Bombyx mori: one gene and its partner. The protein of the gene in region 2 interacts with the protein of the main gene of each other region in a pairwise test. Links are inferred from orthologs where the notes say so. Each region holds a gene or a part of one and is shown on either strand. Other genes may lie near its edges.

The links.
Region 1: the proteins of epidermal growth factor receptor kinase substrate 8-like protein 1 (region 2) and E3 ubiquitin-protein ligase Su(dx) interact in a two-hybrid assay, tested with the Caenorhabditis elegans proteins (2 studies listed by BioGRID). The link is inferred for Bombyx mori from reciprocal best matches to the Caenorhabditis elegans genes eps-8 and wwp-1.

Annotation. Positions count from the first base shown.
Region 1 is NC_085110.1:8,433,044-8,436,972, forward strand, and holds the start of E3 ubiquitin-protein ligase Su(dx), read right to left. Parts: upstream 2,984-3,929; 5' UTR 2,874-2,983; exon of another isoform or gene 2,674-2,873; 5' UTR 2,609-2,673; exon of another isoform or gene 2,561-2,608; intron 2,539-2,560; exon of another isoform or gene 2,340-2,538; intron 1,953-2,339; 5' UTR 1,869-1,952; coding exon 1,799-1,868; intron 1,686-1,798; coding exon 1,398-1,685; intron 1,166-1,397; coding exon 927-1,165; intron 571-926; coding exon 347-570; intron 1-346. UniProt on the Caenorhabditis elegans protein: E3 ubiquitin-protein ligase which accepts ubiquitin from an E2 ubiquitin-conjugating enzyme in the form of a thioester and then directly transfers the ubiquitin to targeted substrates. Ubiquitinates klf-1.
Region 2 is NC_085133.1:7,042,940-7,046,772, reverse strand, and holds part of epidermal growth factor receptor kinase substrate 8-like protein 1, read right to left. Parts: intron 3,372-3,833; coding exon 3,274-3,371; intron 2,575-3,273; coding exon 2,450-2,574; intron 858-2,449; coding exon 714-857; intron 1-713.

The DNA of each region.
Region 1 (3,929 bases), on a different chromosome or scaffold from region 2:
ATCCATTAGGTACATGTATTTTCTACATGGATACCAAGTTTCAAGTCAATCGGATGCATGGTTCAGTAGTTATAATGGAACGTCTGTAAAAACCACTGTAGATTTATATATTAGTATAGATAATGACACGACACATCGGTAGCAGATAGTTACGTATTATCGTTTACACCAAATAATTTTTAATCAGTTTATACTCCAATGAATTTAAAGAAAGTACATACTTATTCTTTTTTTTTTTACTTTCCTAACTTCTCGAACACTGACCAAACAGTATATTGTAAATCGAATTGAAAGATCTACCAGCTAGTATGAGACGCGTTAAATATTTATGAGTTGGAATACTTACCGTCTACCATAACCATCATATCTCATTTCCCACCCAGGAGGCAAAGGCTCCTCAGCAGCATTAGGGTAAGCAGTATTAGCAGATGTTGGCTGTGTTGATGTTGGATCCTGTGTACCAGGCAGGCGTGACTGCTGTGAGGGGCCTGCAGTTTCTGATGATGACTGTGTTGCAGTACTCGGTAAATGTATAGACCCATTGCTCATTGGTGGAGGTCCTGGAGGTGGCTTTAAAAATGAAAAAAATAATTTATACAGAACTAACTTTTTCTTCTTAGTTGTATTGACCATATAAACACTATACTTTGATGGAATGTGCAAAATATATCTTTACTCTTTAATGAAAGTTCTTTACAATCTCAAAACTTTAAAATGTAATTTAAAACTAAAATATAAATAGATCAAAAGATAAACCTTTTTAAAATAGAATGGGAAAGCTTAAATTAGTCATGAACAATTTAATGGAAATTAATAATAATTCATGAATAAATGTTATTACTCAACCAGGCAGCCTTGTTGTAGTAGATGGATTGTTTCTATTTTAAATTTTTTGTATGATACAAATAATAGAAACATCAACTTACTCCAAGTGTTAGTGATCGCATCATGGATCTAACAGTCTCAGGATTGTTGCGCATTCTGATTCTGGCTCGCACCCCTTCATTAAGGGGAGCTGCAGTATTTGCCGTTTCACCAAGTAATTCACGTGTTTGTGTCAACACTCCAGGGTCAATTCTTAAGCCATCTAGAAGCAACACCAGTTCTGCTGTTTTTACCTCAGCATTTCCACTAGTATTCTCTTGAGAAGATGTTTTCATTAAATCTAAAAAAGTGCAAACATTACAACAAGTTTTGTTTTACTTGTTTACTGAATTTATATGAAGCACAATTTCACAAATTTTGAATATTGTAATGTCTTTCTTTTACATTCTTATTATATTGAAAAATTGTACTTATTTTAAAATGAATTCTCAGTGAAGAGAGTTTTATAAGGCTATATTAAATAATCTTCAATTATTCTTAATTTCAACAGAAACTGGTTCAGTTTAACTCACCTAATGTAAGTTCTAAATTCTCACATTTCCCATTACAGTAAAACAAAACTTTTAATAGGTTCACTTTTTTTTCACCAATCACATTGTCTTTCCTAAAGCTATGATAATCTGCAAGACGGAACAGTAATTGCGATTGTGGCGTCACCAAAATAGTAAGATCTTCTTTCCATTTTGGATGCAAGGTGTTCCTTATAACTTCAGTCTTTCTCAATATTTTATCATCAATTATAACTTGCAGGTATGGATTTGGTTTGAACAAGCCTGAATTTTTTATATTTGCTGATTCCACTAAAAATATACAATGTGTGTTAGAAGATTTGATAATTTCATTTAATATCATTTGCAAAAATATTTCAAGATTAATTTTCAATCAGTTTAGATCAAAATGTATTTGAACTTACCTGTTAAGCTCAGTTGATGATATGTGGACACAGAAATTGGAGCAGTGAGTGAAGATATATTTTCATTCATAGTGTATGCTCTTAGTTAAACCTTTTGAATGAAGCATAATATTGTTTTATTTAGGCTGTGGTTTCATCTTAATACTGGACATTTCTGGGAAAGAAAAATAAAATATGGAGTTCTACTTTTCACATTTTATTCAGTATCATGAATAATTGAAGTTAATGTTTTATAAAATTTAAATTAACGGGCTATAGGTGTTAGGAATACTTGTCCCATAAGGCAGTAATTATAGTTTAAAGGTAACATTGATAATGATTTTGTACATTGTATTGAAAATTTAACCATATGTATGAAGTATTGTATGGAATTATTAATTGGTTTGTCCTTATTATTTAGGTTGATGATCAAAATAGAATAAAGTTTAAAATTTTATTACGATTTTAATGGTAATAAGTTTGAAATTAAATGGGCTTCTATGCTGTTTTTTTGTGTGTGAAAAATACTGTAGCAGAACACTGTCATTAATGTTGCTATTACCAAACCAAAAGAAAAATAGTAATTTTTTTTTGCTTCCAATTAACGCTGCTAAATTACCGATCCCGATCTGAAAGCATTTGCCAATAAGTTGATTAAGTGTTTTACTGGACAATTGATTATTATCTGTCAATGACTTAAATAACCAGCTTAAACGAGAAGACACTTATTGTTTATACGTCTTGTAACGATAAACAAACACGAAGTGCACAATACAAACATACCTCCTGAAACAATTATAGTATTAATGTTACACAACAATGAATTATTACCATATGAAGCGAGTTCGTCCGAAGCTAAGAATCCTTCGAATTATCTTATTATCGTATTCTTATCACTGTGAAAGGAAACGTAAATAACGCCACATTCTCTTTATCACATTACTTATTGAAATCTAGCGCAGAAGGCACATAAATACACGTACACGAAAATCTGAATGTATACAGAAAATTTTAGTATTTTTTTAAATTTATTAAATGATATCCTGAGTAAATAATTTTTCACATTCCCTGAAATTAGTCACAGTATGTCACGCACCTGTCACGGTCGATCGATTATATTAATGATGTCCATTAATTTATCTCAACCAATATACCTAGTAATTTCTAATCTACCACGTCCTATCGCAGAGTATGTCTGTACATAATACCTATAAATTAGAGGTTACTGAAGACTATTAAATCGATTTTATACAATTTCCACTAGTTTTCTATATATCAAATTTATCTACTTATACTAAAAAGATAAATAAATAGTGAAACTGACTAATCACTTATGTGACGGAGCATCTTGACCGTAAGTCGAGCACCTACCTATGCCTTACCACCTTTTACTGGTGGTAAGGTGTCCTATGAACCTGCATGGGTAGGTACCACTAGATGCCTATTTCTGCCGTGAAGCAGTTAATTACGTTTTGGTTTGAAGGGTTGACAGCTGCTGTACTGTAAAAACGGAGAGTTAAAACTCATATCTCAAGGTGGGACACGTTGGTACATGCGCTTACGTTGTTGATACATGGCTCCGGTAACGATTTAACAGCAGTTGGGACATGAGTTCGTTTACTGCAACTAGCATAAATCGCAATAAAAAAAAACCTATGGTGGAAGTTTTGGTAAGCTCATTGAACGTGATAAGTTAGGCTAGGACCCAAAGAGGACGCCCGCTGACTATTAACGACGTAACAGGTGACCCTGCTAAGTTCAGTCCTGGGAAGCTCGCACAAACACCGTTATATAATCGTCTTATAAAAGTCGGAGACCAGAATGGAAGACAACGATCACACGTGGGGTAGACCAGGGGCTCTACCAGAGCCCAAGATAGCTCATCACATAACTTGATTCTGTTACGATCAGCTCAAGTTACGGATGATGCCAAAAGTTGAGACTTCGATCTCACGTCTCAAATTGCGAGTTGATGTTCAGCTGATGTCCAGCGTACTTTTTTGTTAATTTTTAACTATTTTGTCTTGCAATGGAAGGACGAGAAGCGAGACAAGCAATACAATGCGTAGTGCAAAAGCAATCCTAAATCTAAAGCGAGAGTAAAATTAGTGTTAGTGTGGTATCAGTGGAATAGATAAATACTAGTGCGTAT
Region 2 (3,833 bases):
TATCCTCTCAAGGCTATCAGGTTAGGTAGGAAAAAAAAATTAGTATCGCCATCTGGACTATTTCTGCTGCGAAGCTGACGCGGTTTTAACTCTGTTTTAACGGTGAGGCAGCATTTGTGCAATACAATTGGATCTTCGACCTCACGTCTCGTGATGGGTTGTGGGATTTCCGTTGTTATGTCAACGGTCTAAGCTGACTTCTTTAAACAATATGAGATTGTTTAAACATCACGGATTAAAAACAAAAAGAGTAATCATGTTATAAATATTAATCAGGGACAGGATGGCTGCCAGAAATTTCAGAGAAGAACTTTCTAATGCAATACAGGTAATTCTTCTATAACAATTTATAAGAATTATGAAAAAATAAAAATCAAATCAACAATATTACTGGTGGTAGGACCTCTTGTGAGTCAGCACGGCTGAGTACCACCGCCCTGCCTATTTCTGTCGTTTAGCAATAATGCGTTTCGGTTTGAAGGGTGGGGCAGCCATTGTAACTATACTGAGACTTTAGAACTTATATCTCAAGGTGGGGGCGCGTTTACGTTGTAGTTGTCTATGGGCTCCAGTAACCACTTAACACCAGGTGGGCTGTAAGCTCGTCCAACCATTTATGAATTAAAAAAAAAAACTGGTCCAACCAGCGTATTGAACTTCTGCCTGTGGGCCAGCCGGAGTAGTATTAGTGCGTAAATGTTAAAAGTACGAACCTGGTAATGTGTGTATATCGGATTAGGGTAGAGGTGTGGTGACGAAGGCGGCGAAAACGCGGGAGCCACGATGGTGTGTGGCACGTGCGCTGACACGCCGCGTCTGTTACGTGCCTTCCACCACTTTCTCGAATCATCTAGAACCTGATATAGAACAATGTTGGATGAAAGATTACGTCATGAATTTGAAATTTTGACACATTGAAACACCATGAAAATAAGTATAAAGTAAGTAAAGAGACCTTTCTCGAAGTCAAACATATTTCAGGACTTAATTTTGTAATACAAATTGTAATTTGCTTAATTACTGGTGGTAGGACGTCTTGTGAGTCCGCACGGGTAGGTACCACCACCCTGCCTATTTCTGCTGTGAAGCAGTAATGCGTTTCGGTTTGAAGGGTGGGGCAGTCGTTGTACTGTAAAAACTGAGACCTTAGAACTATTATCTCAAGGTAGGTGGTGGCATTTACGTTGTAGATGTTTATAGGCTCCGTCACGACTTCACATTAGGTGGGCCGTGAGCTCGTCCACCCACTTAACGCATTTAATGTCGAACACACTGCGCTGTGGAGGATCGAGGGCCCGGACTCACGGCGCCGTTGTGCGTGCATTGATCAATATATTGATCTTATAAGATCGCTACTTTACGCATATGTCCATATGCGTCACATAATGCTATCAACACGAACGGTGGAAACGGTACATACTGCTGCATAAAAAGAAACATAATTACAAGCCCGGCGCCGTGTGCTCGGTTCCCAAATCCTTCATGGCGCCGTGTGGTTGGCATTAAATGTGTTAAGCAATAAATAAAAAATACAATCAATTTAAACTAGCCGTATTTGAATAAACCCGCAGGAAGCCACTTTTTTTTCTACTGAAATACGTACTTAGCTCATGCTTGAGATTGGGAGAATTTGCTAGAATTCTGAACAAGATTAGAACTTACCTCTAAATACTCTCCCCTAACGACACCATGGAAATAAGTATAAAGGAAGTTAAGAGACCTTTCTCGAAGTCAAACATATTTCTGGACTTCATTTTGTAATACAAATTATAATTTGCTTAATTACTGGTGGTAGGACGTCTTGTGAGTCCGCACGGGTAGGTATCACCACCCTGCCTATTTCTGCTGTGAAGCAGTAATGCGTTTCGGTTTGAAGGGTGAGGCAGTCGTTGTACTGTAAAAACTGAGACCTTAGAACTATTATCTCAAGGTAGGTAGGTGGTGGCATTTACGTTGTAGATGTTTATAGGCAGATATGAAGTGGTTACCGGAGTAACCACTTCACATTAGGTGGGCTGTGAGCTCGTCCACCCACTTAACGCATTTAATGTCGAACACACTGCGCTGTGGAGGATCGAGGGCCCGGACTCACGGCGCCGTTGTGCGTGCATTGATCAATATATTGATCTTATAAGATCGCTACTTTACGCATATGTCCATATGCGTCACATAATGCTATCAACACGAACGGTGGAAACGGTACATACTGCTGCATAAAAAGAAACATAATTACAAGCCCGGCGCCGTGTGCTCGGTTCCCAAATCCTTCATGGCGCCGTGTGGTTGGCATTAAATGTCTTGAGCAATAAATAAAAAATACAATCAATTTAAACTAGCCGTATTTGAATAAACCCGCAGGAAGCCACTTTTTTTTCTACTGAAATACGTACTTAGCTCATGCTTGAGATTGGGAGAATTTGCTAGAATTCTGAACAAGATTAGAACTTACCTCTAAATACTCTCCCCTAACGACAGTTAATTCTTTATCGTTATTTGCAGTGCGAGGGTAGGTGACGCGCACAACGCGGCCTCCCCGGGCCGCAACGCCCCGGGCCCACGCTTCACCCAAATCTGCTGAAAAAATTAATAGTTTATAATATATAATATAATATAATAGTTTATAATATAATAAATAAGTTTAAAAACCCTGTCTAAGGGAGTTTATATTTTTTAGAGTAGTCGCTCCCCAATAGTCGAAATTCGACTATAATTAACTGTAATTAAAACTTTGACAATTATTATGGTTCTATTGTCAAAGACTTCTTTAATCACAGATCTCATCTCCTTTTTATCATCGCACCTCCCGCCATCGGAGCAGAGTTCATCCATATTATCTGGAACCGCTGCGTTCATTGACAGTGCGTTTCCAAAGATTTTTTTTGCCATGTACCATCCGGCTTTGGAATGAACTCCCCTCCACGGTGTTTTCCGAGCGCTATGACATGTCCTTGTTCAAACGAGGCTTGTGCAGAGTACTTTATGGTAGGCAGCGGCTTGGCTCTGCCCCCGGCATTGCTGACGTCAATGAGCCTTAGTTCAGGCACGGAATGTTATTATTATTATCTTGCTTTGCAAGAGACGCGTAAACAATTTTGAAACATAAGGCTACAAAAATATAATAAACAAAAATTCAATTGTGGATTCTCGTTGGCTCTTTTGATTGACAACCGACCACTGGTCTATAGTTTCGTTTTTTGTTTAATCGAAATTGGATGCCTTTCTAATTGTTTATGGACAAATTGCATTCGGAGAACTGTCGAGACTATTGTTTACCTTCATCTCTGTCTGCGGGGCGATACGGGGGCTCTCTGTCGGGCGATGAGGCAGCGGAGCCCGAATCTTCGCGGCCGATTGGTGGTCTCAAGTTATTTCTGAAATTTAATAATAAAATTTCTCATGTAACAGAACTGTATCCTTTTTTCAGCTTGAGGCTGTTTCAGCTTTGTCTTAACGTGTAGGTGAGCTCACGGGGCTCAAACCGGGCGTGTTGCTAACACTGGCCCTAGTAAGCGCAGTGCTTCGCAGAATCTACCACCGGATCGGAAACGCGACCCACTGAGAAGATCCAGCGAGAAACTCAGTGGGCTGTGTCTATGGGTTAATTTACCAGTCGAGCCCTTCGTTGCAAGCGACGGGTTCAGCGTGCACCGTGACCAGTGCTTGAGGTACCTAAAAGCACCGTTAATGGATCGGGAGGATCCTTAATGACGTGATGTATACTAATGGCGGGTACTGAGAATGGCGGGAATTACCTTGGCCTCTTAGGTTTCGTAACGGTATCTCTAGCATATTGTATTAGATGTAATTTTGCTTTGCCTTAGAATGGTAAAGTA